4 linked regions of the Arabidopsis thaliana genome follow. The protein of the gene in region 1 interacts with the protein of each later gene in a pairwise test. Each region holds a gene or a part of one and is shown in the gene's direction. Other genes may lie near its edges. The genes, in order: ERD14, ATAF1, AT4G33905 and AT4G18340.

The links.
Region 2: the proteins of ERD14 (region 1) and ATAF1 interact in a two-hybrid assay, tested with the Arabidopsis thaliana proteins (one large-scale study listed by BioGRID).
Region 3: the proteins of ERD14 (region 1) and AT4G33905 interact in a two-hybrid assay, tested with the Arabidopsis thaliana proteins (one large-scale study listed by BioGRID).
Region 4: the proteins of ERD14 (region 1) and AT4G18340 interact in a two-hybrid assay, tested with the Arabidopsis thaliana proteins (one large-scale study listed by BioGRID).

What each region holds. Positions count from the first base shown.
Region 1 is NC_003070.9:28,583,909-28,590,872, reverse strand, and holds ERD14 (Dehydrin family protein), read left to right. Parts: upstream 1-2,945; 5' UTR 2,946-3,215; coding exon 3,216-3,464; intron 3,465-3,551; coding exon 3,552-3,860; 3' UTR 3,861-4,210; downstream 4,211-6,964. Other genes in the region: AT1G76185 (NADH-ubiquinone oxidoreductase chain), read right to left, coding at 264-376; AT1G76170 (2-thiocytidine tRNA biosynthesis protein, TtcA), read left to right, coding at 4,648-4,685, 4,915-5,021, 5,133-5,275, 5,350-5,681, 5,779-5,871, 5,963-6,003, 6,158-6,224, 6,307-6,418 and 1 more. UniProt on the Arabidopsis thaliana protein: Intrinsically disordered protein acting as a chaperone. Prevents heat-induced aggregation and/or inactivation of various substrates. Binds to acidic phospholipid vesicles without affecting membrane fluidity.
Region 2 is NC_003070.9:265,063-272,807, forward strand, and holds ATAF1 (NAC (No Apical Meristem) domain transcriptional regulator superfamily protein), read left to right. Parts: upstream 1-2,930; 5' UTR 2,931-3,408; coding exon 3,409-3,568; intron 3,569-3,654; coding exon 3,655-3,932; intron 3,933-4,020; coding exon 4,021-4,452; 3' UTR 4,453-4,757; downstream 4,758-7,745. Other genes in the region: AT1G01710 (acyl-CoA thioesterase II), read left to right, coding at 1-15, 274-375, 516-564, 715-783, 890-967; AT1G01715 (uncharacterized protein), read left to right, coding at 1,455-1,662, 2,231-2,442; AT1G01725 (adenylosuccinate synthetase), read right to left, coding at 4,954-5,028, 5,560-5,673; AT1G01730 (uncharacterized protein), read left to right, coding at 5,940-6,227, 6,317-6,371, 6,479-6,810; BSK4 (kinase with tetratricopeptide repeat domain-containing protein), read right to left, coding at 7,049-7,300, 7,383-7,493, 7,589-7,745.
Region 3 is NC_003075.7:16,251,913-16,259,689, reverse strand, and holds AT4G33905 (Peroxisomal membrane 22 kDa (Mpv17/PMP22) family protein), read left to right. Parts: upstream 1-3,929; 5' UTR 3,930-4,097; coding exon 4,098-4,439; intron 4,440-4,765; coding exon 4,766-4,994; intron 4,995-5,259; coding exon 5,260-5,384; intron 5,385-5,535; coding exon 5,536-5,625; 3' UTR 5,626-5,938; downstream 5,939-7,777. Other genes in the region: AT4G33910 (2-oxoglutarate (2OG) and Fe(II)-dependent oxygenase superfamily protein), read left to right, coding at 1,076-1,189, 1,290-1,412, 1,643-1,800, 1,883-1,985, 2,121-2,216, 2,286-2,351, 2,438-2,557, 2,661-2,747; AT4G33900 (Galactose oxidase/kelch repeat superfamily protein), read left to right, coding at 6,979-7,777.
Region 4 is NC_003075.7:10,127,671-10,135,582, reverse strand, and holds AT4G18340 (Glycosyl hydrolase superfamily protein), read left to right. Parts: upstream 1-3,390; 5' UTR 3,391-3,563; coding exon 3,564-3,636; intron 3,637-3,856; coding exon 3,857-4,193; intron 4,194-4,429; coding exon 4,430-5,138; coding exon of another isoform or gene 5,139-5,171; exon of another isoform or gene 5,172-5,263; coding exon 5,264-5,338; 3' UTR 5,339-5,533; downstream 5,534-7,912. Other genes in the region: AT4G18335 (uncharacterized protein), read right to left, coding at 6,220-6,714; AT4G18330 (Translation elongation factor EF1A/initiation factor IF2gamma family protein), read right to left, coding at 6,996-7,559, 7,643-7,861.

The sequences.
Region 1 (6,964 bases):
CAGATTGCAACAGAGTCGATAAGAATGAAAAGTGTATGTCAAATTGTCAAAGATGGTTCAACGTGGACAAGTCAAAATTATAGTTCCTTGTGTAGGATTCACATAGATATCCAATGTTCAACGACAATCCCTTAAAAGATGAGAAATTTACGGTTCCAATTGAATTAAATATCACAAAGTACAATTTTTCAAATACAACTCTAAGCACGCAGCTCCAAATCACAGCAGATTAAAAAGGAAAGGATAAGCCGGAGATCTCTAACCTGGAGGAAGAGAAATTGGAGGTGGAAGAGAAGAAAGAAACGGAGGCCCAATCATGCTTTGATCTAATCTGATATTCCCTGAGCTGTTCTGCTAGATTCGATCTTGTTATCATCGCTTCTTCTCCACCAAGTCCCGATCACAGTCCCGATTCGACGAAGAGCTCAAGAAGCGTTTGAGAATCACGAGATGTAGGAAAAATCTATCACCAACATATAACTAGAATCTAGAAATCCAAAACAATGGAAAAACAAAATCTGTGAATTGGAAAATTTCGCATCAAAATTTTACAGCGACGAAACGGTGTCCGATTCGTTAGGAATTCGGCGAACGTTGCGTGGACTCTCTCGGTGTCAACAACCGGGTCGGGTTATAGATCCGATCTGGATTCTTAAGCCCATTTTATGGGTATTGGGCTTTTACCGTTACTCTTTTGTTTTGAGTTGTCATCATATATGAAAACTTTGTTCCGATGCCATGAAATTTGGGCTTTTAAGAATCATGAAAACTTTGTTCTAACAGAAATAGAAACATCAAAGAAAAAGAAATAAAACAGCGATGCATCGATTGATTCTCATGTCCCACCAAGTAAAGCGAGTGCTAAATATTGTTGAATATTCCTGATTTGACCACAATAAGGAAAATATCACGCCCATAAAACTCAGACGGGCGGTGAAAAAGAAGAAATCGACAGAAGAACAAACGCATGACGTTCATTACTTAGCACTAATCTGAAACTTTCGAATTATAGTATTTGATCCATATGTATTCTACGTTTTTCAGAAAACTTTGTTCAGATATCTCAAACTTTCGAATTAATTAATATTATTTTAAAATCTATAGTTTAGTTGTGAATTCTAAGTGTCGGCTACAATTTGTCGGTTCGCTATCACCGAAAACATTATCCAAAGAATAAGTTAAGAGCTGAGCTTCGGTGTATATGACAACAAGAACCAAAAAGACGAATAAGTTAGTATTGAAAAAGATAGGTTTGTTTGATATGTGTGTTGATACGTCACGGTTCGTGCTACGTCTTTGTTAAATTTAGAGACCAGAGATTACTGATGTGGCACGTCGGTTCATTTTTTTTATTTTAGGCGAATTTTAAGAGATGATGCATTTACCGATTACCATCTGTCCTTCATTAATATTTTTAGTATATCTTTTTCAATAGGTCGAAAATGACATCCCACACATTAACATATTAATTCATAAGAAATCCAAGTCATCTTATGCTCATTTGTCTACTCATGATTTCATTATCTACATCTAAGTTTATCTTTAAAAACTGCATGAAAACATAACCATTTACGTTGAAAAAATACATACACAAACCCTTTTCCCATAAACGAGATTACGAAAGATTGTTTTATGTGCCCCAAAAATGGTAAACAAAAGATGATGCTAACTTTCTATTCGTTCTAAAATCTAAATCTTTAGTTTTAGTTTGTTTATGTCCACGATCATTTCTTTGATAATACTTTTGGCGGATTCACAAGCGCAAATTACCCGTCTTATTGTAGCATTAGGACTAAAAATGAGATCCGGTAGCATTGCAACAACACCTTCCTAATCGATTGAGCCAATCGGACTTATATTACTTGTTGGATTTGTTTTTTTTTTTGTTTAGAGTATCCAAGATCATGTATTTACAATTTCAAAGATCATGCGTTACTAGATTGGCCTCTTCAACATGTTTAGTGAATAATAAGTTAAAATAACACCTAATCGTTGAGGATTCATAGCGTGATAAGAATTAAATAACCAAGTTCTTATTGGTTTGTTTGTATTTTGTAACGCATAGAATAGAAGAAAGAAAAAATAAGGAACGTTATAAATTTCTAAAAAATCATCATTTCTTCTCGAACAAGCTTGTTCCAGCGTGGCACTAGTCAATAAGTCAAGTGGACCCACGTAACCGACATCACGTCTTTTACGCCAATCAGTACATACTATTGGGTCCTACAAAAGGACAACTTCCCATGTTATATTGACACGTTTTAAGATGTAATTGATTAATCTAAATTTCTCTCTGACTCTTTTCTTTGTCTACATCCGACGTTCCATTTCTGACTATGAGCTCCGTCGTCCGATTTGCGCTAATGCTTGACACGTGTCTTCCAATCTATGGTGCATTAAATTGTTAATCCTTTCAAAATCTGTAATCCATTTTTGGAATTTGCAAGATGGTTCCTATATTTGTGAATATATATATATATATAAGAAAGCCCGAAACTTTAAGAACAATAATTTATAGGGACATCCCATTCTTTAAAATCTCTTTTGCGTTGTCAAAAATAAATTATTTTTGCTTTCAGAGGAAATGAAAAAACATTTTTGCTTATTCCATATTATTCTTACTCTATTTAAAGTTTGAATCAGTTTTCTTTAACTTGATAAACCGATCATTGAACTACAAAGTCCACATAACAAGTATTAAAACAAACAAAAAAACTTATGAAAGTCTAATATTTAAATTAAAAACAGTACACGCCTTGAACAAACCATTTAGTTTGTTTTCACTACTTTTGAAAAAAAACTATCTAGTTGCCATTCTTATCCATTATTTTTTATTCCACTAAATTGATATCAGATCACGTAAGCAAACTATTAACAATTAATTAATGAATTCTTCTTAATCCAATATAACTTTATCTAATTAACAGAAAAATGATAATTAACGTGGGGACGAAGGAGAAGATGCCATAAAAAGCGGGTCATTTTGTAATTTCATATAATTAGATATATGTTTTTAAATTGCAAAAAAAAAGTGTACAAAGAGCGTGAAATCCGCGGTGGCTTGGACCCCTCCCGAGTCCTCAACACTATATAACACACTTTCTTCTCTAATCTCCATCACCTCTTATTTTCATCTGCTTTTGAATTTCAAACCTTCACATAAAAAAAATACTTTTGAATCCGTGTTTCATTCATCGAATCTTTTTCCGATAACTATGGCTGAGGAAATCAAGAATGTTCCTGAACAGGAGGTGCCAAAGGTAGCAACAGAGGAATCATCGGCAGAGGTTACAGATCGTGGATTGTTCGATTTCTTGGGAAAGAAGAAAGACGAAACAAAACCAGAGGAGACTCCGATCGCTTCAGAGTTTGAGCAGAAGGTTCATATTTCAGAGCCGGAGCCAGAGGTTAAACACGAAAGTCTTCTTGAAAAGCTTCACCGAAGCGACAGTTCTTCTAGCTCCGTAAGTTTAGATCTGATCTGTTGATGATAAACTATAACATGATCGAATGCTTTTCTTATCTAACTATATGGGTCTGAATTTATACAGTCAAGTGAGGAAGAAGGTTCAGATGGTGAGAAGAGGAAGAAGAAGAAGGAGAAGAAGAAGCCAACTACTGAAGTTGAGGTAAAGGAGGAAGAGAAGAAAGGGTTTATGGAGAAGTTGAAAGAGAAGCTTCCTGGACACAAGAAACCTGAAGACGGTTCAGCCGTCGCTGCGGCACCGGTGGTTGTTCCTCCTCCTGTGGAAGAAGCGCATCCAGTGGAGAAGAAAGGGATTCTTGAGAAGATTAAGGAGAAGCTTCCAGGATACCACCCTAAGACCACCGTAGAGGAGGAGAAGAAAGATAAAGAATAAGAAGATTATCATTAAAGATATTAAGAATAATGATGGTTGATTTGCTTTGTTTTTTTTTTTTTTTATTGTGATGATTGATCATCTTTTGCTTTTGTGATGTGTAAGTTTGTTGGCTTTTTTGTTGATTACAATTTCTTATTTTCTCTTGTATATGGTTTTTAAAAACAAAAGATCTCAAGGTATTTTAATGGTATGAATATTTTCATTTGATTAAGTGATATGGATGATATAATTTTATGTATTGATAATCTTCAACTATTGCTCAAAGCCGTAAACATGACCCCAGTTTGATTAGCATTCAAGTTCGTATGTAGGAAATTAAATGCGTTGGTATAGAAGAAACATGATCGTGTATACTCTTCTTTTTAGTGATTGATTTGGCATTGCGGTCGACACAACTACTCAAAACGTGTAAGAAAATGGACCAACTTAGATATTTTTGTAGACCAGTTGACGTAACGTTTCCCTAATATGCTAGTTATGATAAGATCACATATTCACATGAGATCCAGCTAATCACAAAACATTTCCATTAATGGACCACATCCTTAGTTAATAATGTCTTTAACGCTCATCATTGTGGGTATATCTAATTATCTATAATCTTGTATGTGGGATTTTAATGTTGGGTAAGAAAGCCCAATGGGCCCATTAATAACTAAAACAATTCAGATACCGAAATCAAATACGACGGTGTTCTGTGGATATAACTCCGAGTTAGGTCGTTTTTCCGGTTAGGACAATTTACCGCCGACTAGTAAACTTGGAGTTTCATTCACCGGTGGAGATGGAGGCAGGGGAAGAGAAGAGCAAGAAAGCAGGAGGGTCTCGTCTCTGCTGCATCTGTAACCAGTGACGACCTGTCCTAAAACGACCGAAAACCCTTCAACAGGTAAATTTTGAATTAGGATCAAAATCATCGAGCTGGGTCTTTGGTTGCGTTACTCTTGTGGCATTTTCGGAACTGTTAAAGATCATAGTTTCTCAATCTCCTGCTAGTTAGTTTGTTACGTATAAGCAATAATGATGTGAGTATTTGTATAAAGATATGCAGAGAGTGTTTCTATGAGGTTTTTGAGGAAGAGATTCACCAAGTCATTGTTGGGAATCGTTTGTTTAAGTTCGGTGAACGAGTTGCTATAGGTGCCTCCGGTGGAAAAGGTAATTTCTTTACACTCCAATGATGGTTTCGCTTCAAAGTTCAAATTTTTACGAATCACTCTGTTTTAGTTTGATGTTTGCGCCATAACTCAAAAGTTTGTGCTGGTGCAGATTCTTCAGTGCTGGCATATGTGTTATCAGAACTAAACAGACGTCACAGTTACGGACTCGATCTTTTTCTTTTGTCTATTGATGAAGGGATAACGGGTTATCGTGATGATTCTCTCGAGACTGTTAAAAGGAACGAAGTTCAAGTAAGCTTTTGAATTTATGTGTTATGTGTTCACTCTAAAATTTTGTGATGATTTGTCATTCTTTGTTTTCCCAGTATGGATTGCCTCTTCAGATTGTTTCATACAAAGATCTGTATGGATGGACAATGGACGAGATTGTGAAGATGATCGGTTTGAAGAACAATTGCACCTTCTGTGGTGTATTCCGTCGACAGGTGAGGAGCAAGTTTCTTCATAGCATTCCCTCTTTGAGTAAGTTTCTTCAGAACCGTCTTTTCTGTTTTATGATTCTATGTCTGGTTGAATTTTTGAAGGCACTTGATCGAGGAGCTGCGTTATTGAAAGTAGATAAGCTAGTCACTGGACATAATGCAGATGATATAGCCGAAACAGTTGTCTTAAACATACTGCGAGGCGATATTGCTAGGTAAATATATACGTTTCTAGTGATGTTTTTCCTTGAATCTTGGCTATAATATGTCTCATGTCCCTTAATTGATTGATTTGTAATTTGGCTATTGTAGATTGAGTAGGTGCACATCAATCACTACAGGCGAAGATGGTCCAATTCCAAGATGTAAACCTTTCAAATATACATACGAGAAGGAGATTGTCATATATCCTTTGCTATTAAATCTTTTGTTTTGCTTCCCGAAACAACTTTAACTGTCAACAGAAGATATTCGTTAGACCTTAACATAGTTACACGTATGCTTATTTCAAGAAGCTGGACTACTTCTCCACTGAATGTAAGTTGTGCATTTTCAAAGTTTTGTTGCTTCTGTTCGTTTTTATCACTTAAAGAGAGCTCTAGCTAACTAGCTTTTTATTATAAGTCCACTACGAGCTGAATGCATAATTTGGTCATTTATGTTGGAGTTGAATCATTTATTCTGATTGCAGGCATATACTCCCCTAATGCTTATCGTGGATTCGCCTGTGAGTTCATCAATGACTTGGAAAGACTAAGGTACTTGTTCAACTGTTGCCGTATATATTCACCACAACCAAATAAGCAAGTAATTCTCCAATTTATATTATATAAACTACAGGCCAAGGGCTATTCTGGATATCATCAAGTCAGGTGAAGACTTCAGAATTGCCACAACCACGAAAATGCCTGAGCAAGGGACTTGTGAGCGATGTGGGTATATTTCTAGCCAGGTGAGACTTCTCTCTTTATCACATCAAGTCATGTTATAGATATGAACTAACAAAGAGTAAAAAGATGTGCACTGTAGTAAATATAATGAATGATCTTATACGATGATGCAGAAATGGTGCAAAGCTTGTGTTTTGTTGGAAGGATTGAACCGTGGTCTGCCTAAGATGGGCATTGGAAGACCAAGAGGAAACGTAAATGGTGATTATAAGGACATAAAGGCTAGATCTACTGCAAAAACTATAGAGAGCAAACAATGTGGATCTCTGGATTTCTAAATTAAGAGAAAAACCAAAGCTATGAGACTGCAATGGATGCTGTGATAGTTGCCAAACTGTTTTTGTATAGAAAGCTGTTAAACTTAAAAACCCATTGTTGTAAAACTTATCCTAGTAGAAGAATTATGGGTTTCCCTTTATGGCACAGAGGTTTTTGCAGCTGGTTCTCTGGCTTAGTGGTGGTCCTGGTTAGTGATGTTTGAACCTGCAGTATTACACCATCAATGACCTCAACCACTAGCTGATCAACCTAACTCATTTCAAGTCAAC
Region 2 (7,745 bases), about 28 Mb from region 1:
TCAAGCTTTGCACCGGTAAGTAACTCCATCTATGTATATCAAGGTAACCATCTAAAAATTGGTATTATTCATCTGGTAACAATCCTTTAAACTTTAAAGGCAAGAATGATTGTAGACAAGTGAATCAATGGTGTTTTAGTATCCCAAGTTGATAGGTTGAGACTTGTAAAAGGCCAAACTTTCTTAATAGCATTGAAAAACTGACGGTATATTGAAATTCAATTTATCATTCTTAGCAAACTAATCATTTGGCAAAGCCATGTTGATATGCAGATGTGTCGTTGCATTTGCCTCGGATTTAATATTTTGTGGTGTTGGTTTGAACCCTCACCGGAGAAAAGGGGTGAAATCCGCCGCACTTAGCCTGGACCATGCGTAGGTTTTTATTTTCTCTTGGTGATGTATGAGTTTTGTGTGTCTGGGTTAAATTTTTTAATTACATTGAGGCATTATTCCAGTAGGGATCTTCCAGATAAGTAACTATTACGAGTTACTATTCCTCATTTGGTTTGCAGGATGTGGTTTCACCGACCTCTAAGAGCCGACGAGTGGTTGCTCTATGTGGTAGTTTTTTCTATCCTTGTTTCTTATGAACATTTCAGATCAAATGTTTGTTCAGAATAAATGAAAATGATTTTTGGTATAGAGTTGTTTTATAAACTTGTTTGCTGTAAGAGGTTCACCCACTTACAACACAAAGGATGCTGCTTGCAGATTGTGAGTCCAACTGCGCATGAGACCCGTGGTTTTGTGACTGGTCAAATGTTCAACAGGAAAGGAGAGGTACTCTTTCTCTATTCTTTTGAACCCTATTATACATACATATCTGGAAATGATAAGTGATAAAAGAATTCCTTTTGGTATGTGTTTTTGAATATGAGAACAACAGCTGGTTGTATCATTAACGCAAGAGGCCCTATTAAGAGAGGCTAGACCTCCAAAACCCTCCGGCACGTCGAAGCTCTGAATGGCTCTCAACGTAAGTTAAATAAGATACATTATTACGAGTACAAGGCGACGAATAAAAAGATCAAAAACCAATCTGGGTGGGTACTAAATAAAAGATTTTATTAGACAAACTCATAATGTCAATGTAGCACGCTGTATGTACATTGTTTGATTCCGGCCTTCTCACCTCTATCATCATCTATCTATAAATTCTCTTGTTTTTTTTTTTTGTTTTAAAATTCTTTCTCACAAGAACACCTTTAGATCGATTCGTGGGCCAGAAAATTATGGGCCCAAGTATCAAATTAGTTTTCGTACGACCCATTTTGGATCCGCGGGGGTATCTTTGATGGAACCGGTACACCTGCTTAACCGGCCGGTTTATAGTTTTGTATCCATTTGTGATTTGCGGGTTTCTGTTGCCACCTCCCCACTCTCCTCGCTTTTGTTGGTCTTGGAAAAACCCTGGGATTTTGGGTATCTCTGAGCACGAATTCTACATTCTCATGGCTTTCGAACACAGAAATGAAGACCTAAATTCCTTGGATTCGGAAGAAGATCTGGAGAAAATGGAGTCAGAGGTGGAGCAAATGTCGCGCAAGGTTTCCGAGTACAGGAAAAGCCTACCGAGTAATCTGAGCAATTCTGTGATTTCTTCTCGTAGATCCAATTTTCCCAACATCGATTCTTTGGGCTTTCGCACAACTAGCACAGGTTCGTACGTTTCTTTGCTTATATTTAGTTAGATACCTTCCTTCTCCTTTGGTTTCAGCTGGAATTTTAGTCTCTTTTTCTTTCTAGATGATGTAATAATAGATTGATCCTCTACATTATTCGTGGATCATTCTTGTGAAGACCAAGTTGTTTAGCAGCAGCAGACTTGCCTTTTGATTGTGATGTCGTTTTTTGCATTTAGGTTTGTGTCATGCCATGCGTGTAGAATATTGTGATACTTGCTACTATACCCTCTGGATGATTATGTTCATGAGTTATTACGCTTAATTCTGAGGTGATGATACATATACAAGGCTTTTCCATTACAATAAATCATGTATTTTTGTGGCTTAGAATCGACAAGCATGAGACTATGTGATGATATGTTTAGCTAAGCTGAGAGAAAATGATTGTTTAGCCAATTTTTGTTTACAGATACCATGAGATAAGTGGCCACATTAGGTGACACTAAGATTTCATAGCATTGTAATATACACAAGTCTCTAGTGAACTGCTGTTGTGATAACCAACTCATCAGTTATTTTGTTCCTTGCAAGTTTGGAAGAACCTCTAGTGTCAAGAGATGGAGCACATATAGGTGGAATCGAACAAGAATCTCGAGATAGCCTGATTCAGCTCAAAGAAAGAGTGTACGAGAACATTGCCACAGTGCCTCTAGTTGTAGAGAGAATGCGAGAGAGTAAAGAGAGAATCGACAAGTCCATTTCTTTCAATGGAACTACTATGCACCCGGCTTTCACAAGGCGGAAAGCTAGCTAACTGATCAGTTTCTACTTCTCCCTATTGGCTTTACCACTCAAAGAAAGCTAATGCATAGGAGGAGATATGGCTGGTATTTCTTTCTACTATATTAGTATCAACCAACATCTCTCGCATTTAGAATAAGAGTATACCATAACCTCTGTTTTGATTGTGTTCTACATTGAAACAGGTCTTTCTCTGATTTTAATATGGACTCTTATAGAATCTTGGGCTGATTCTACACCCTGTATGTATATGTAAGAATCACATAATCAGATGGTTGCACAATTGTCAAGAACACCCAAATCCAAGCTTGCGATTTAGCAATCTCACCCGTGTAAGAAACTTAAAACCATAAAACCAATTGATATAAGAGCTTTTCTAGCAAAAACTTAAAAATATAATTAACACCGTCGAAAATGGTGGAGGCTACTAGAGCGAGATATAAACTTTATCACCGTTTAATCGTGTGGGATTTTGAAATGATATGAACCTATTGCAAAAAGACAAAAAAAAAATATAAACGGAGGAACTAGGCAGTGGGACCGGAGATCCACCGACCGGAAACGAAGAATCCATAGTAAGATAGAGCCCAGGGGTTCGGTCGTATCGGACCGGTCGGATTTGGATTCTAACGACAAGTGAGTGGACCCCCAGAAACGACAGACGTAAGCAATGACAACATCAAACTCATCGCCACGTCAGCAACGGAGTTCTACTTGCGAAACGTGTCCCGGCAGCGTCATCCACCCACGTGTGTTCTAGAAGCTCTTCTCCTCCTCCGTATCTCGACACGTGTCCACTCCCTCTCCTTATATAATTGACTTTTCTCTCATTCTTTCCAAGTTTCAAAAACGCCAAGTTTCAGAGGTAGAGAGAGAGATACTACAATTGATTAGGATAGGATCAGGATCATCCTCAACAACCTCCTCCTAATTCCTCCTCCATTCATAGTAACAATAATATTAAGAAAGAGGGTAAACTATGTCAGAATTATTACAGTTGCCTCCAGGTTTCCGATTTCACCCTACCGATGAAGAGCTTGTCATGCACTATCTCTGCCGCAAATGTGCCTCTCAGTCCATCGCCGTTCCGATCATCGCTGAGATCGATCTCTACAAATACGATCCATGGGAGCTTCCTGGTGACATACTAGCTCTCTTTCTCTTTAATCTTTGCCGGATTCTAAATCTGAGATTGTTCTCTGCTGACTCAAATTCAATTTTACAGGTTTAGCCTTGTATGGTGAGAAGGAATGGTACTTCTTCTCTCCCAGGGACAGAAAATATCCCAACGGTTCGCGTCCTAACCGGTCCGCTGGTTCTGGTTACTGGAAAGCTACCGGAGCTGATAAACCGATCGGACTACCTAAACCGGTCGGAATTAAGAAAGCTCTTGTTTTCTACGCCGGCAAAGCTCCAAAGGGAGAGAAAACCAATTGGATCATGCACGAGTACCGTCTCGCCGACGTTGACCGGTCCGTTCGCAAGAAGAAGAATAGTCTCAGGGTATGGAATCAGATCTGATTCACATCTTTGTTTCAATCTCTTGTTCTGTTTCTGGTAAATTGAATCAACGGTGTTGATTTTTGCCCAGCTGGATGATTGGGTTCTCTGCCGGATTTACAACAAAAAAGGAGCTACCGAGAGGCGGGGACCACCGCCTCCGGTTGTTTACGGCGACGAAATCATGGAGGAGAAGCCGAAGGTGACGGAGATGGTTATGCCTCCGCCGCCGCAACAGACAAGTGAGTTCGCGTATTTCGACACGTCGGATTCGGTGCCGAAGCTGCATACTACGGATTCGAGTTGCTCGGAGCAGGTGGTGTCGCCGGAGTTCACGAGCGAGGTTCAGAGCGAGCCCAAGTGGAAAGATTGGTCGGCCGTAAGTAATGACAATAACAATACCCTTGATTTTGGGTTTAATTACATTGATGCCACCGTGGATAACGCGTTTGGAGGAGGAGGGAGTAGTAATCAGATGTTTCCGCTACAGGATATGTTCATGTACATGCAGAAGCCTTACTAGAAGGGAATTCCTTTCCTGCCGCCGAAACGCAACGCAAAACGACCCTCGTTTTTGCGTTTATGGCAACACGAGACCGTTTTATATGGTCAATGAGTGTGCCGATTCGGCCATTAGATTTCTGTTCAGTCTTCGTTTATTCTATAGACCGTCCGATTTCAGATCATCCCTAATCGGACGGTGGTCGTTGGATGTATCAGTAGTGTATTACTGTGTTAGGTAGAAGAAAATCCACTTGTTCTTAAATTGGCATAAAAGTCAGAAGCTAATATTTATATGTGCCGCAATCAATTTAATATTTTCTGTCTACTTAGGAGTAATGGATACAAACTAGCGTATTGGTTCTATATTTATTTATCAGCTTTCACAGTTGATCTGACTTACATTTATTGTGAACATATCTAACAAGTGTAGAGGAGTAATGGATACAAGCTAGAGTACAGTGTGTTAGCAGAAACGCTATAAGATGAAGTCTGATGTTGAGCTACATGTTACTGTCCATTGTCACTTGTCGGACTTCTTTGATGGAAAGATGAACTCTTTCACGGAATCTTGCGCTGAAAGTATCCTCTGTCTGATCTGCATATGCAAAATGTCATAGATAATATAGAGTTAATTGGCTACAAAACCCCATCGAACCATAAGAAATTGATTTGGTGTTCAAGAGTAAATGAGTAATCAGTACTCTCAACATAGAGAGAGTAACAACAGACTAAAAACTCAGCAAAACAAAGTAGTCACTACTCATTCGTTGAAGATCCAGGCAAACGCAACAAAGCTGAGCATAGAAGTCAGGAACATTCATATCTCATTCAAAGTTTTCTAAGATCAAAATTCAACCCTAGCAACTAACAACTAATAAAGAGATCTAACCAATATCAATTGAAACCAAGTGATTGTAGGCTGTAGCAAATATCTGCGATTCGAAGCGATGATGATCGAGAAGGTTGACGGTTCGATTTATTAAACACAAACAAAAAAAAAAGAGAGAGAGAGAGAGAGAGAGAGAGAGAGAGAGAGAGAGAGAGAGAGAGAGAGAGAGAGAGAGAGAGAGAGAGAGAGAGAGAGAGAGAGAGAGAGAGAGAGAGAGAGAGAGAGAGAGAAACTCACAGGATCAAGAGCGTTGGGCTCTGGACCGTAATCAGCGGTTAAGAGGAAGTACGATACAACAGCAGTCGCCACCACACTGGTTACCTTCACCACCTTTTCAATTTGGGGATTCATCGATGTTTTCGTTCCCAGAAAGAACAATTCCGGTGATTTTGGTTTTTTTCAAGTGACACAATGATGATGTTATACGTTTTTTTATTGGTAAAACGACACACAATCCGATTTGTGTAAGAAAATTCATGCCGTTTTCGTTCACTTCAAATATGGGCCCAGAAAGGCCCAAACATCTCATCAAGTCCTCACGGCGTCGTTTTTAAGATCCCCGCTGCGTTGATTTATGGCGATCTCTTTCGGCGGTTGAAAACCTTTGAAAATTGAAAATGGAGAAATCGACCTCTCCGGCGACTCGAGTCACCGAACCTCCTCCTGCTGCTACTTCATCTCTTCCAGCACAAGCTCCTCCGCTTCCTACATCTGCAGATCAGAGATCAGCTGAGTTACCTTCGCCTGCTCAGCCAGCTCAGATGACTGCGCCTCCGTCGACAGTTACCACAGATCCGTCGTCCAGGGGAAGAAAGCGAGCGCTGGAAGCGAATCTTCAGATCGAGAGCTCCAACTACTACAAGATGCGTCTCCTTGTCAAAGATCTTCGCCCTCACGTTCTCGAGGTTGGACCATAATTGTGATAAAAACATTCAAACTCTTTGTTTGGGAAAGGGTTTATACATAACAACTTGGATTTTGTGGTGTGCTACAGGTTTTACGAACTCCAGACTTGAGGAACTCTAAGGCAGTTATCGAGATTCAAGAGAGTGAGAAGCTCTTACACTCTCTTCTTTTGTTATCTCAATTTTCACTTAGCTCAACAAAAGGCCCAACTTGTTTGATTCTGTGTCCCTTGAAATGATGATGTTTGCAGAGATGAAGCTTATGCTTCAACTGTACGAAGAGATGATTGGAGAGTCTCCCAAACGTGAGAAAACAGCTAAGAGCGACTCTTTATCCAACGGAAAGGCGACTACTACTACTACTACTACTACTAGTGTACTGAGATCATCTGAAACTGAGAAGCACAGCTCTGATGGAGATGGCGACAAGGTGGTTGGAGGGTCGGCATTTGGCTGGAACTTCATAACCTCTGGAGGGCCAGGCACTGAACCTGTTTATTCTGGAATGTCAAAGGAAGAATACAGAAGCTCTCACCCAATTATGCAAGTGGAGGCAGAGCTTGAGTTGCCCAACACATTCTAAGCTTTGTTAGTGGTGTTTGTATAATATTATTCACTTTGGTATCCGTTCATCCCAATGTTTTATATGTATCAACTGAAACAATGGATTAGCTTCTACCCATGAAGCCTTAATTAGTACACAATATGCTTAACATCTAAACCTTTTTTTTTACACAATATGCTTAATGAGACAGCACATTACCTTTGGATTGTTAATCAAAGCTTCTTCATCTTCTACCAAAACCCAAAATAATAAGTCTTTAGTTCTGTGTGGAAGCTGAAATCTTTCTGGCTTCAAGAATGGATCCTTCGGTAAGTGCGATTTGAGATTCCTTCTCCATTCCCAGGACAGAAAGAGCAGCAGACTGGAGATACAATGCAACATACCAAACAGGAGAAATGCCTTGAGCCTTCATTGCATCATCTAAAGCTTCTTTCGCCATGTTACTCATTAGGTAACTTTGACTTCGCCGCACCAAGACTGTTGCAGAGATCATTCCCAAATCAAGAAACTGGGACAATTTTTATAGACAGGGCATCATCAACTATGGAGGAAGGTCTTGTTACGGATTCAAGTGTGAAAGAAAGACATACCTGCGTGTAAAACTCAATGGCTTCACTAAAGTCTTTTCTTCTAAATGCAATATCACCTTTTTTCTTCGAGTTTATAGCTTCTTGCATCTGTTCCGTCCACATAAACGAAAGCTGCGTTTAAACATGTCACATAAAGAAGCCTTCATGGGATGGGAAGCATAAGGATTCTAACTCTAAAGTGGTAACCGTAAAGCATGACGACTTACATCTTCATCGTCTTTGTAACCAATTTTTTCCAAGATCTCAACCATAGACGTCAGGTCTTTTCCCGAGCAAGCCTCAGCAAAAGGAGACGGAGGTGACGCAAAAGTACCACTTTGAGGCAGACCCATTAGAACATGAGACAGAACCTCTGTGTCTTTC
Region 3 (7,777 bases), on another chromosome or scaffold:
AATTCATTGGCCCAAGTTGTCGAACTTTTTTGATCATGATGTTTACCTTTACATTTATAACATTATGGATGCGTATTTATCGTTGTTATGGATCATAGGGTGATTTTCAACATATATAGATCCATTCATTTTATTTTTTTTAACATTTGCATATCCACTCATATTATACCGATGCATACAAGATTCATCAAACAAAAAAAAACTTAATTAGTACTACTATTATTTCTGTCAATGCTCACTAAGAATCTCTCTAGTATCACATCTCTCTTCAGTGAACAATGCTCTGTGAACCCCAAGAACCAAACATTAAATGAGTCACCTTCTTTCTTAAACAACAGTTCTATAGCCCACAAAGAGAGCTCCTTGAACCTTCTTCTCGACACAAAGGCTACTTGAATCTTCTTCTTGCTTATTCTTTTCTAAACTCAAATCTCTATATGAAAATCATTTGTAGAATGGTTACACATTTTATTTGGTTATCAAAAAGAAGTTGCAAGAATATAGACTATTAGTTAAGAAAATAAACTCATTTGAAATTTCGTTGGATAATGTATTGATCTCGGCTTAAGACTCTCTAATTTGACTGTATATAATTAATAAATAATCATTCTTTACTTTTTAACCATAAACACAATTCAATGTTGGACTACATATCCACCTTACATTCTAAGATCGATTCCAAGTCATTATCGACAGCCTGAATGAAGCAAAACAACTCAAAAGAAGCCCACCTAATTCAAATCACAAAAACGTTCAAGTTCCATCGAACCAAAACTTAAACCACTCTACGCAACCAAACTTCAACCAAAAAAAAGGATAAATTCGGCGCATTTTTTTGTATTTGTTGACCAGTGAAGAAAATGACAAACTGGTCAACGAGATCTGATCATTAAACTATAAAACAATATATTTTAAAGTAAATAGAAATTTGTGGTGCTTCATTGGATCGACGAAAGGCGTCCCGATATTGAGGTTCGTTACGCCGGCGAAGATTTTCATCGGAAACTTATCTGATCGTTTACGCCGGCGAAGATTTCCATCGGAAACTTAATCTGATCGGAAGGAAGAAGGCTCGATGAAGAGCAGATTGAAGAGCTACAGGAGGAAGAAGCTAGGGTTAGCCACAGTTATCGTCTTCTGTTCTCTCTGTTTCCTCTTCGGTTTCTATGGCTCCACTCTACTTTCTCAGGTGTGGAAACTCTCTGATCTTTTACTCTGTACTCTTTAGATGTGATTGGAGTCTTTAGCTTGGTTTTGTGACTAATCGAGGGTTCTATGTTTGGGATCAGAATGTGCCTCGTGTTAAACCCAGGTTGAGAATGTTGGATATGGTTGAGAATGGGGAAGAAGAAGCTAGCTCGATGCCTCATGGTGTTACTGGAGAAGAATCTATTGGATCGATTCCTTTTCAGGTCTGATTTTGTTGCTAATTTTTTGACTTTTAAGATGTTTGGATTGGCAAATTAGGTGAAATCGATTAGTTAGGGCAAGATTGTGCATTTGATTATCTAATTGAACTTTGTTTTTTTGTTCATGTGTGGTGACCATGAGTGTGAGTGAGAGTATTGTGTTTTTTAGCAATTAGTCAACTAGTGAAATTTAGTACTTCATCTTTATGGATTATTTGGTTTAAAATTGGCAGGTACTTAGTTGGAGACCTAGGGCTATATATTTTCCGAATTTTGCAACTGCAGAACAATGCCAAGCTATTATTGAGAGAGCAAAGGTTAATCTGAAACCTTCTGCTTTGGCTCTCCGGAAAGGAGAAACTGCTGAGAACACTAAGGGCACTAGAACAAGGTCTTTCTTTCTTTCTAGTTTCATGTTTCGAACATTCATCAGTAGCCTCAGTGTTTTTGCCTGGTGTGTTGTTGTTATACAGCTCAGGAACTTTTATCAGTGCTTCAGAAGAGAGTACTGGTGCTCTGGATTTTGTTGAAAGGAAAATCGCAAGAGCTACGATGATCCCAAGGTCCCATGGAGAGGTATGATTCTCTACTTCCCAAATCTATGTGAATCGTAAAACTAAGGCATGTTGAAAGTGGCAAACGTAGGCTTGATGGCCTTTGGTTTAGTGCTTATCACCCCTTTAATTGTACGAGATTTGATGTTTTTGGCAGTCATTCAATATTTTACGGTATGAACTTGGCCAAAAGTATGATTCCCACTATGATGTTTTCAACCCAACAGAATATGGACCACAATCAAGCCAAAGGGTAAAATCCTTAAATCTGTCATATTTATAGCTTTCTTTAGAACCCGAGACCTCATTTGAATTTACGCAGATTGCCTCCTTCCTGTTGTACTTATCTGATGTTGAAGAAGGCGGTGAAACCATGTTCCCATTTGAGGTCAGTTTATAATATATTATTTGCTTACTTATTATACAGACCCTTTCGTTAGTTTTGATTCCATTTAAACGCTTTCTATTTAACAGAACGGTTCTAATATGGGCATCGGATACGATTACAAGCAATGTATTGGGTTGAAAGTAAAGCCTCGGAAAGGAGATGGTCTTCTTTTTTATTCCGTGTTTCCAAATGGAACGATTGATCAGGTAAACAAAGTTTGAACACATTTCATTTCTTCTCTTGACTCCTATTCCTTGGATTAGTTCATGCTAATAGGAGCTCTTTGCTGTGGTTCCAATGCTTCTGCAGACTTCGCTTCACGGGAGCTGCCCGGTGACCAAAGGAGAGAAATGGGTGGCAACCAAATGGATCAGAGACCAAGACCAGGAAGAATAAGTTAGGTTTTTTTCCATATATCTATCTCAGTCTCACAGCTTCTATCTTTTGACTAAAAATCTGCTGCTGGATCCCTCGTGTACAGTTCTTCGCTGAAACAGTGTAACTATTTAGCTTTCTTATAATGCGAATGATACAAAAATTAAAACCTGATAATGAAAACTTGGTTCGAAATATCATTTGAACAATAGAAGTTTCTTGTTGTTTGATATTTCAGTAAAAGAAATATAAGAACTTATAAGATTAACACAGAAGTGATGACAAGTGTGGATCGATTTGGGTGTTCTGATTACTTGGTATTGAGTATTTACTGCTCGTTTGAGTCCGTCAAGTCTCTTGTTAATTTGCAATGTGTACTAATTTTTTCCCTTATAACTTAACAAAATGTGTTGTATGATTGTATTTGTATCTATTAAATGGAAAATTATTTTGTCCATGTTATATATATAAAAAATGTATCTGAGCTTACACACCAGGGACCATCTTTTTATTCGAGTTTTTGTGGACACATGAGTCATGAGTGATACCGATAATAATTTTTGTTTTTTTTTGTGTGTGTGACATCATCTACGTTTAGTTTGGTTTAGAATCTTCGAAAAATTGCCGACAGAAAATAAGAGAATCTTCTCTTCCAATGATCTACGTTCTTTTTGACTAAATATATAAAAATAAAAGAGTTCATAAAAAGTGGCTAAAAGTCGGAACTTGGGACACGAACGCAACACGTGGCTTCTACTAAAGGTTAGCGTCACTGAATTAAGTTTTACGTGTCAGAAGTGATGACGTCGACACTAACCAATGTGAACAGGACGTGTAAACAACCCTAGAACACTACAGAACAGAAACAGTTTGGGGATGTTTGGTTTTTGAACCGTCCACCTTTGACGGTCACGCGCTCTTCAGCCTTCAGGCACTCTTTCCTCCGCCTAACATAGAAATTGGAAAGGTTATTTTCTCCAATAATTTGGCTTGGCTTTTGAGTTTATTGAGTGATTAGCTAATAATAAATAATAATCAATTTGTTGGCTTATATATAATCAATGTGCTAAGTAACACTATAGCTTTCACAAAAACTTCGGTTATTAGGAAAGATCTCGACAATTCTGTATCTAGAAAAGGCATGATTAATTAATTTATTAAGAACAAAACTAATTTATGAAGAACGATTGCAATGGTACGAGACGCGAGTAGAAAAACCTTTATACTCGCGAAATATACAAATTGTGTGTTTCATTATTTATTGGCATTTAAACTTTTTAAAAAAACAGAGCTCTGTTTCTTCTTCTCCACCGCCGTTATATATAAAACCCTTCCCTGAACCCCCAAAACTCTCGGAGCCATCACACGACAATGACCGGCGCATTGTTTAGAAACGCTGCTTCCGACGCCGCTCGGATCTTTCGATTACAGCGAGCAACGATGACGAATCCTTTTGGAAAGCTCGACCCTTTACCGATAGGAGGAAACATCCAGCGATTGCAGTCGAGGCCTTTTTATCGTACGCCTCAGTTTCTCGGGAAAGCAAAGGAAACAGGTGTCTCTGGTTTCTGTTCGTCTTCGTCTTCGTCTTCTTCGACGGTCTCTACAGCAGGATTCATCGGATGGTATTTGGGAATGGTGAAATCTCGGCCGGTTCTTACCAAATCCGTCACGTCCTCGCTTATTTACATAGCAGCCGATTTGTCTTCGCAGGTAATTTCAAAAATCTATCTCATTTTTGTTTTGTAAGCCTACAAATCAGATTTTAGATATTCTGTGATTATGTTCTTGTTGATTCAGTCCTAAGATTCCATTGTGTTTTCTAACAAATGGTAATAGTAGAAGTCACTGTATCTCCATTGTGCTTTAGAGATTTGAGATAGGACAAGAATTACTTCTAGATTAAGAAGTAATGATCGATTCTTAGTAATGTGGATGTAGTAGCGGGTTTTATGTGAATTGAGTTGTTATATTTGCTTACGTTTCTTTGTTCTTGTATTGTTGTTGACAAAAGTGTGACTTGTTTGATCTTTCAACAGACAATTCCACAAGCTTCAGTGGATTCTTATGACTTGGTAAGAACAGCAAGGATGGGAGGATATGGGTTATTAATCTTGGGTCCTACACTTCACTATTGGTTCAATCTCATGTCAAGTCTCTTCCCAAAACGAGATTTGATCACAACGTTTAAGAAAATGGCCATGGGACAGACAGTCTATGGGCCTGCCATGAATGTTGTTTTCTTCTCACTGAATGCAGCCCTACAGGGTAAGCTTTCAGCTGTACATGAAAAATAATCAACTGGTTCCTTTCTTATAGTCTATATATTCTTCTTTGAGCAACATATAAAAGTATGATTTTTCTGAAACTCTAGATCCTGTTGACCTTCAATCTTAAGGGTTGTTATAGAGCAGGTTGTTTGATGTTACATTCTTTCTCTAAATGGCGTTTGAAGAGAGGAGAATTGTTGTTAGAATTTGATCCTAAGCTATTCTTGATGACATCAAAGTCTGATTTTCAATTATTTTTTCAGGTGAAAATGGTTCAGAGATAGTTGCTAGATTGAAAAGGGACCTACTTCCCACAATGCTTAATGGTGTCATGTATTGGCCTTTGTGTGATTTTATTACTTTCAAGTTCTGCCCTGTTTATTTACAGGTATGTATGATTGATACCTACCACTTTATTTCCAACTTAGCTTCACTTTGGTTAACCTTTTGTTCAAGACAGATCATATATTTGCTGCATTCATTTTGTCTTATCGTGAGTTTTGGTTATCAACTGAAGTCTGGTTTCTTTTTGTCTGCAGCCACTTGTGAGCAACTCGTTTTCGTATCTATGGACAATCTACATAACTTATATGGCAAGCCGTGCGACGCCAACCGCCATTGAAATTTGAAAAAGCTCTCTGGGAAACTCTCTCAGTTTAGAAATGAAGAAATGAAGCCAAAAAACACTTTTACTAAAAGAAACAGGGCATTCTTCAACATTCTTTGTTTCCTCTCTCCAGATTTTAGGAGGATATAATGTAAGGAGTTTTGGGGAAAACTGTGCATTTGGACATGTCTTACACTCTTAGATTTAATTCAATTCTATGTTTAGTATTCCATGTAATATTTGAGTAAAATGGTGGTTCTTTAGCTTCGATCAACTTTTTGAGTCTTTACCAGGCAAAGGAAACTGTTGACACAAGTCTTTTATATTAATCCTTAGTTACATCAGTACGGTTAACAAAGACGGAAAATTTACACGAGACCAACGGAGTCAAACCAAATGCTATGTATGCTAAAATATGGTTTTTGTTCTCAATCTTATACGCGTCCCAGATTGGTAGGGTAGCAGGTAGCAGTGCGACAGCTTGTAACAAAAAAAATTGATATGCCAAATGTATTGTTTTCTCATAACAGTAAGTAAAATTTTAGAAATTTAGGGTCCTTTCTTGTACGTAGGTCCGCATATATATCTGTACCAGAAGAAAGAGCACACAAAGAACAAAACAAAACAATTTAGTAAAAAGGAATGATAAAAAAAAAAAGTAAATTCTTCTAGTTCTTTTTTTGAATATCAGTAAATTCTTCAAGTGAAGAGAATATACGTTTTGTTATAGAAAATTAGAAACTTACTATACTTCCAAACACGTTGAAAAACTCCCAATGAGATTAGGAATCTATATATAAACAATATAGACAAGAATAGTCGAGACAAAAAGAAGCTTATGCAAAAAACAATTTCTTACTTTTTTTTGTTTTGTTAAAAAAAGCAAGTTCTTACTTAATAAGCAACTGATGCAGCGCATCTTTGCTTTGTTCACGCCTTTGATGGGCCTCGTCGTGACCAAGCCTCTTTATTGTTTCTCATTCATGATTTAGTAGTTTATGGACTTTATTAAAGATGTGGGCTTTACGTGTTTGGCTTTTAACTTCTTTTTAGAATTAGGGTCTTTGTTTCTGATTCTTATTTAAAGAATCCTTACGTTGTAGAATAGATTAGTTTTGGATTATTGAATAAAGAGTTTTAAGAGAGCTTTCTATAAAGCCTAGAGAGGAGGACTCTCAACCCTAAGGGCTTGCAAAACCAAGTCGATATCACTACCGATCTCGACTTTATCTCTATTGCTTCTTCATCAAGTTTTGACGTTCTAAGCAAGATCCGTTTGTAAATCCGAGTTCTCCTAGAGATCTTGTGTTCTCGTCCGATATTTAGCTTCCGCTCTCTATCAACAACCGTAAGAGAAAAAAAGTGATCAACAACCATGGAATATGGAGAAGAACCCTCGATTAAAAGATTTCTAATGCTTCCTGATGATTTGGTATTTAACTGCTTAGCTCGCGTCTCAAGATTACATTATCCAACTCTCTCATTAGTCTCCAAAAAATTTCGCTTTCTTCTTGCTTCAAAGGAGCTTTACCAAACCCGAATCCTCTTAGGCGGAACGGAGAGTTGTCTTTACGTGTGCGTACGACTCCATACCGATTCTGAACAACTACATTGGTTCATTATCTACCAGGGACCAAATAGCTCCAAAAAAGTTTTGGTCCCGATTTCATCTCCCAATTTTACTTCCGCAGCCCTGCCGGGTTTTGTAGTGGTCGGTCATGAGATATATGCCATTGGCGGTGGATCAGAGAATAAAAACGCTTCGATAAATGCAACTGGATCAAAGACTTATAACGCTTTGTCTAGCGTTATGGTTATGGACTCTCGTTCTCACACATGGCGTGAAGCTCCAAGCATGCGGGTGGCCCGTGTGTTTCCATCTGCTTGTACCCTCGATGGGAGAATATATGTTACGGGAGGCTGCGAAAATCTCAATTCAATGAATTGGATGGAGATTTTTGATACGAAGACTCAAACTTGGGAGTTTTTACAGATCCCTAGCGAGGAGGTATGCAAAGGCTCTGAGTACTTAAGCATAAGTTATCAAAGAACCGTCTATGTAGGGTCTAGGGAAAAAGATGTCACTTACAAGATGCATAAAGGTAAATGGAGAGGGGCAGACATATGCCTGAATCATGGATGGAGTCTGGATCCATCATCTTGTTGTGTGATAG
Region 4 (7,912 bases), on another chromosome or scaffold:
ACGTAAAAGCTTTTAGCCATGCATGCACGATGTTTACTGGTTATCGAGAAAGCATTATCGTTGTTGGATAAGACATTAACTTTCCTCTCCTATATGATCATAAAGCTTGTTTTTCTTCTTCATAAATCTTGCCGCTTAATCCTTATCCATTATCCACCAAAAATTCAATTTTGTAGGCAGCTTTATGAAATAATGCTTTACACCATTTTGACTCGATTATAAGTATTATATATATCCACTATTCGAAATGGCCCACGATATCTGTATTTTAATATGACGTCAAATATCTTATTTTGTCTAATGAATCCAAACTAAGTACAGTATGTGAATCTTGGTAATATATGTATATAGAGTTCAGTTCAAATATAAAATACAAGTGTATGACGTCAAAAAGAATTTTTAGATACGTTATAGGCTCATTATTTAACTATATGTTCACTTTGGTGCAGCTTAGTATCTTTTATGCAGATATAATTTGAATTTTTGATCTGGTGAACTATATATTGTTAAGTAAAAAAAAAAACATGTCGGTCCAACCCAACCTAGACCTGTCAAGCATGTTTAATGATGGTTTGGCCTGATCCATTTGTTAAACAGTAGGTAAAATTTGCAATCTTTTTTTTTTTTTGTTTTTTTTTGATTTTGCAATCTTCTCCCTTATCTACACTGTTCTCTTTAAGAAACCCGCTATAACACTTCCCGAATCATTCATGCGGGAGAATTCAAAGGTACCTTAATATTACCACCTTCAAACCAATTCGCACATGGTCCAAGTTGGAAATGGTTAACCAATTTAGTTACCTATCACTATCAAATTCCCACAGTTGGGTGTGATGCATCATACATTTGCAAATGTCCAACATGGAAATCCGAATCAAGTAAACCCTATATATACTCTATTTTTCATGCGTTAAAAGGGTTAAACCCTTTCTTTGAAGAAACTTAACCTTTGTTCAAAAACATTGATATCGTTGAGTACTTGTGTTGCTTTAAAAAGCTTTCATGTCATTTTATTTGCATATTCGATATTGTAAATAAATTGCAGATTAAATGGCATATTCTTTCAATCCGAGCTAAAACAAAATCATTCTCTTTTTCTGTCTGCTGTTTCAAACTTGCTGGACAATTATATGATCTTTCTGATTTGGACATTAAAATATCCACAGATAACGTAAACTTGAAATATTCTGCAACCAAAAATATGTCCATTCAGTAAATAATTAACAAACTAGATCATATTCATGAAGAACTAAACCAGAATCATTAAATTTAAACATTAGAAATAAATTAAAACTTGTGTCATATACTCGATAATAAATCAAATTATCTTTAACTTTACACATATAGGCCTATATAAAACAATCTGTTCGGCCGTGTATGGTATATAGTTACGTCATTATCAAATTAATCTATATGGAACTGCCATAAGTCGACCGGTGGTCAATCCTAAGCCACGAAATCAAACTTTTAAACGACGAACTAAAAGTTTTCAGCCAACTATAAACAGGCCACTCTGAATAATTGACTGATTTTGACTCCTTTCCACATATTTAATTCCAACATCGAACGATTACATTTTTAATTGCAACAAGTTCAATAGCTTGAGACGGGTATATTTCTTATAAGTTGTATACATGTGTTCAAATAAAATGGCTCTTGGTGTCGTGAAAAAGAGAGAAGATTTAATATTATAGAATCGAAAAGAAGACACTAGGGTATTTTGGATTAGATCAATACAGCCAAAAGTTCCACTTTAAATTAATGTAATTTTCTGGCTAGCCAACCTTTCGAGAAAACGAATTGACTATCGTCTACGTGATCAAGTTTAACCCTTTATATTTTACCATTTAAAAATATAGTAAGTAGAAATTAATTGATTAACAAATCAATAGCCAACCAAGCGAAAGCACTTACTATTTCTTAAATAAGTTTTGTTGGGGTTTATTATGTCAGGTGATTAAAAAACAACCGATGGTTGAAATTGACCGACGGCTCCAAGTGTGTGACACTGCCCCGCCAACTTGTCTAATTCCCCTCGAAAGCATATTAGCAACATTATCCCAATTGACCATTTTATTTTACTTTTGTTATGCTAATGCTTTTAGTTATTTGTCAATTTATACATTATCATATTTGTCTTGTTTTATTTTACAAGTGCCTCAAAATTAAGCATGATCCTTTTGTCTAAAGGAAAGTAAGTATATCCCTTCTCTATCATCTTAATCCGAATAACAATATATTTGAGATTTTTTCTTGACAATTAATGGCAAATTATATTACGACTTATATATCTTTCACGAATACAATTTTGGATATCCCGTTCTTGATAACTTTCGAGGACTTGTATGAATTTCCGTCCAAAAGCCTCGGATTACAAAAAGAAAATAAATATGTGATATATGTTTATTTGTATGTATTATATTTCCCGGGAGATTTGAAAATATTAAACTTTAAAGGAGAAACGGAGGAGGCTTCCTCAGTGTACTATTGAATCCTTTGACACGTCAAGTCAAATCGGATCTCCAATTAGCTTTTGTCTAAAGAAATATAGTAAGGTTTGTTTGTCATATTAATTAGGCTAGGATACACTTGCGGTCAAGATTCATGCGAAAATGTAATCATTATTCTTCGAATTTGAATTAGCATTAAATTAATCATAATTAACACGTGATTAGTAAAATCAATGATTCAGATAAATTAGATAATAATATTAATAGTAGTAAAAGTTAATAAGAAAAATAAAGACCATTTTTGTGGGACTAATAACCCATTATAAAATTTCTTTTGTCATGAAGTTTTAGCTGAAAATTTGATATTTTACCTTTCATGATTATTCTACAAGACATGATTATCTATTAAAATTTCATTGTGTTAATATTAATTTTTATACCACGTCTTTTTCTCCATGATTATCGTAGAATAAACTTTTGGTGTATAGTACAAGTTTGTTTTAAGTCACGACTCACCTACTTAATTGAAACGAATATTTTAATATTTTCCGGTGCTTTATGAAACTTCTTCAATATTCTATACACGTCCACTTATGTGTATCCCAATCTCTTCTTAATTTAATAACATTGCTCACTTTTTTTACCAACCCAACAGTTAACACCACTTGTATAGTACATGTAATTAAACGAAACACACAAACAACGTATTTCCTTCCATACATGTGCATGCAAATTGTCTTGTCATAGAGTCTGCATTAATCTAGCTATATGATAAATAACTACATACAAATATTTTAAAACCTAATAATTTTCTTTAATAAGAAATCCTTCGTTGTGGTTTATAGAAAGCCGTCAGTGGATAAAAAAGGCATAAATGAGAAAAGCAATATAGGGAGGCAAAGCTAAACAATTTAAAAACACTTTTTTTAAAAAACATAAACTTCAACACTAAACCTTTTCACAACAAAAAACACGGAAAAAAAACAAACAAGCGAAGAAAAGTATTCTTCACCTTGGTTGGCTTATTGTGTATGTCTATAAATATTCCATTAAACACTTCTCTTAAAACCCAAAACCTTCACAATCTCTTTCCCTCCCTCTCTCTTCCTCAACATGACATCAAGAACATTCACAAGACATTCCAGTCTCATTCATGTTTTTCTCCTGCTTTCTCTCGTTTTCTCAGGTTATTTTCTTTTTCATTCTGAAATTTTAAAACCAAATTCTTAACACTTAAGTTATGCTTTACGTTGCCGCCTTAAAACCTCAACGTGTAAGATTTTAACATAGTGAAATAACGGATCGATAATAAGTCTAGAATTCATTTTTTCAATGTTTGTTTAATGGAATATTAAAGATTTTTGGCATTGTTTTCTAAAAGTTCGATTCTTTGTTTGGAAATATAGGGAATATACTACAAACAGTAACGTCTCTTGGCATCAATTACGGACAAGTTGGGAACAATTTGCCTTCACCGGATAAAGTCATTAACCTCTTGAGATCTTTAAGGATCACAAAAACAAGAATTTACGACACTAACCCTCAAATCCTTAGTGCCTTTGCAAATTCAAACATCGAGATCATCGTCACCATCGAAAATCAGGTTTTACCATTACTACAAGATCCTCAACAAGCTACCCAATGGGTAGATTCTCACATTAAACCCTATGTTCCGGCCACTAGGATTACCGGAATTATGGTCGGAAACGAGCTTTTCACCGACGACGACTCTAGTTTAATAGGGTAAGTACTAATCGTTGAATATTAGTCTAATTTGTTACATGATCACAGAATTAGTTTTTTTTCATTAACTGATTTCACATTTTCTTGACTACCACTTGGTCAAATGTAACGAACTCCTTCGAAAAAAATATTATATTTATTAAACTCCACTTTGAATTTCAATAAGAAATGAGTGTAATAGTTTTTGTCCAATAATTGCTAATTTTGACTATATTCTCTCCTCTTTTTGGTAATAGATACATGATGCCGGCGATAATCAACATCCACAAAGCCTTGGTCCAATTAGGTTTAGATAGATACATTCAAGTCTCGTCTCCAAGCTCTCTTGCCGTCCTCGGTGAATCTTATCCTCCATCTGCCGGAAGTTTCAAGCCGGAGGTTTCCTCCGTGATGCAACAACTTCTAGATTTCTTGGAAGCCACGAAATCTCCTTTTTGGATAAATGCTTACCCTTACTTTGCCTACAAAGATAACCCACAAGAAATCCCAGTCGATTACGTTCTATTCAACCGTAACATCGGCATGACCGATCCCAACACAAGACTACACTACGACAACATGATGTATGCTCAAGTTGACGCAGTTGCTTTCGCGGCTGCGAAACTAGGGTACCGTAACATAGAAGTTAGGGTTGCGGAAACAGGGTGGCCTTCAAAAGGAGATGTCGGAGAGATTGGAGCGTCTCCTGTGAATGCTGCCACGTATAACCGGAATCTTATGATGAGGCAATTCGCCGGAGAAGGAACTCCAGCGAGACGGAATGCAAGACTCGATGTTTATATATTTGCGTTGTTCAATGAAGATATGAAACCAGGTCCTACTTCGGAGAAAAACTACGGTATATTCCAACCAGATGGATCATTAGCTTACAATTTGGGATTCTCTACAATGTCGACAACGACGGCAAATTCAGAATCTGTCACTTATTCATCCTCTGCCACTAAGGTACGATTAGTATTATGTGGTGAATTTTGTTAGAATTTGGAATTATTGGGGCCACGACGAGAATAAGTTTGTGAAAGGACTAGATGTGCAAAATGAATTAATTCTCTGTTTTCTTCTTCTTTCAGGCAAAGAGGAGCTTGGAGTATTGGACAATTTTGATATTGGCGATGGTTCAAGTTGTAATGTTGAGACTATTTTAGAGGAAAAGTTATTGACAATATAATAACGCGATTGTTTAGGATATTTATGTAAACAATTTAATTATAAGCTTGATAAATATAATTTATATTCAATTCAACATTCAAATGAAGTCGGTCAATAGTGAAAATTCTAAATTTATTGTTGTCGTTAACAAGTAATTGACATATATAATAAAGAAACAAAGTTTACTTTTTAAGAAAAACTTGTCGTATATGAAAAGGTTTGAGTAAGTAGTAACTTTGACCAAAAGGCATATAATCGATAACCAGTAGCGGTTTAGAATCAACCATATATTTTTTTCCCTCTAATTCAAGAAATATGGCATAGCTTAATTCATTTGTATATGTTGTTGGATATTTTAAATACAATCCCTAGCTAGTTATATAATATAGATATTAGAATGCAAACATATGCATTGGAGTGGACGGTACGAAGAATTGGAACTGAAGCTAAGAAAAAAAAGCCATGAAACAAGAGCTTATGCTCACGATGCAAATTCACATGCTCATTTCCAATTATATCGGCTCAATATACTCCCTTGTTCTTGCCACAAACGATGCGTTTTGACCTTGAAAACATAGACACATATGCTTTTTTCTCTCCATATATTATTTTACCGATCAGTCAAGTTTAGTTTTATAGAATAAAATAATTCAGCTGCACGTAAGGAAAAATAAGTACTTTCTGAAAAATCAAAGGACACGAACAATCAAACATTAGTATGCAAATTATTTTCATACACTTGACCGTCAAAAATGCACTGATCAATGCACCGGTCATTCCGAACAAAAAAGAAAAAAAAATCTTTAAAAGATGAAAAATACAAAAGTGCGACGAGAGGAACAAAATCGTTTCACGTACGACGTATCGGCAACGATATCTAGGGTTGTGTAGAAAGATCGCAAAAGAGAGTAGTAGCGGAATTAGGGTTCTGGTTATGGCATGGAGATGAACCGGAAGGAGGTACGAATCCTTTGGGAAGCATAACCGAGAAAGTATCCTGTCGAACCGGACGGTTTAAACCGTTATTCTTCTTGGCCATCATCTTGAAGTAGCCAGCACGATGATGAAGACCACGGCGATGACGAAGAGTATGTCGATAGTAGTAGTAGTATTGGTGATTGTAACGACGACGACGGTGGTTGTCTCGTTGCAACCGCTGGTTCAAGATAAACGGTGTCGTTTTCTTGATGTAGACGAGTTGGTGCGGTGATTCGTAACCGTTGAGATAAGCTTCCGTTTTTTGTGTTGATGATACTCTTGTTTCTTGATTCGAAGATGATGATGATGGTGAGATGAGGAAGACGAGAGTGAGAATAAGAGAGACGATGAAGCTTTTTAGAAGACTCTGTTTCATCAAAACCAAATCTTCCATTGGGATTGAAAGAGAGTATAGGGTTTTGGCTGAGAGTAAGAGAGAGCGTAAAGATGAAACAAAAGCTCAGAACGAGGAGGGAATTAGAATTATATAATTCCTAATTAGTGATAAGTAATATCATTAATGAAATTATGAATTTGTTTTTTAAATTTTCGTCAATGTTGTGTTAAATATGAATATAGTTTTATATTGTAGTCGAAAGAAAGTGATTAAACATACAAAGGCACATGTTAATTATTTTTGAATGCAAACAATATAAAAAACTCATCACTACTTCATTAGAAAGGAGGAGGAGGAACATCGATGGTGGTTCCAGCCATAATCTGACCCTTACCAATTAGACGCCAATGCCTATCGACACGTCGGCTTAAAGCAACCTTCTCTCCTATGGTGGTACACACCGGAGACGTCAGTTGGAGTTTCACCATATCTTTCTTGACTCCAATAACCTTAGCTCCCGTAGACATAGACCCGATGTTCACCATCAATATCTCTTCTTTGGTTAGCTTTGACACTTTCATTTGCTTCTCTTTTTCCTTTGTCCTCACTCCAATGAGACGAGTCAGAAGCTGGTAACTTACTTCAAGCTCAACAAAGACGTCAGGGAGAGTACCCATTTCACCAAGGACTTGACCAACCAACCTATCAGCACGCGTAAGCGTAGGGTCCATGGTTGTTCCAACTCCGATTAGACCTCCCGGTACAGCAAACTGAAGCTCGTTCTGTTCCGCGTATAGTGAAGTTATACGCGAGTAAATTGGAGTGCATTTTGAGTTTCCATGCTCATCTTTGCCAGTGATACCAGGTCTAATTTCAATCAGTTGGTTCACTTTCAAAACACCCAAACAAAGAGAGACACATATTAATACTAAATTGTTTCACAGTCAGGTAAGAACAGAGGAGAAACAGAGAGATAAAAACATACCTGGAGGATACTTCCACCAGCAACACCACCTTTCATTTCATGACCCGCCGAGCCAGGTTTATTGACATCGAAAGAACGAATCACAATCATCTTTGGTGGTGACACAAAGTCTCTCACAGGGATTGGAATCTTCTTGACAATGTATTCACTCACAACATCAATGTTGTATTTCAGTTGTGCTGAGACAGGAACTATAGGTGCATCCTCAGCATTCGTGTTCTGCAACATTATATATGTGACAGAAAATATGAGAACCAAACTGATGAAGTC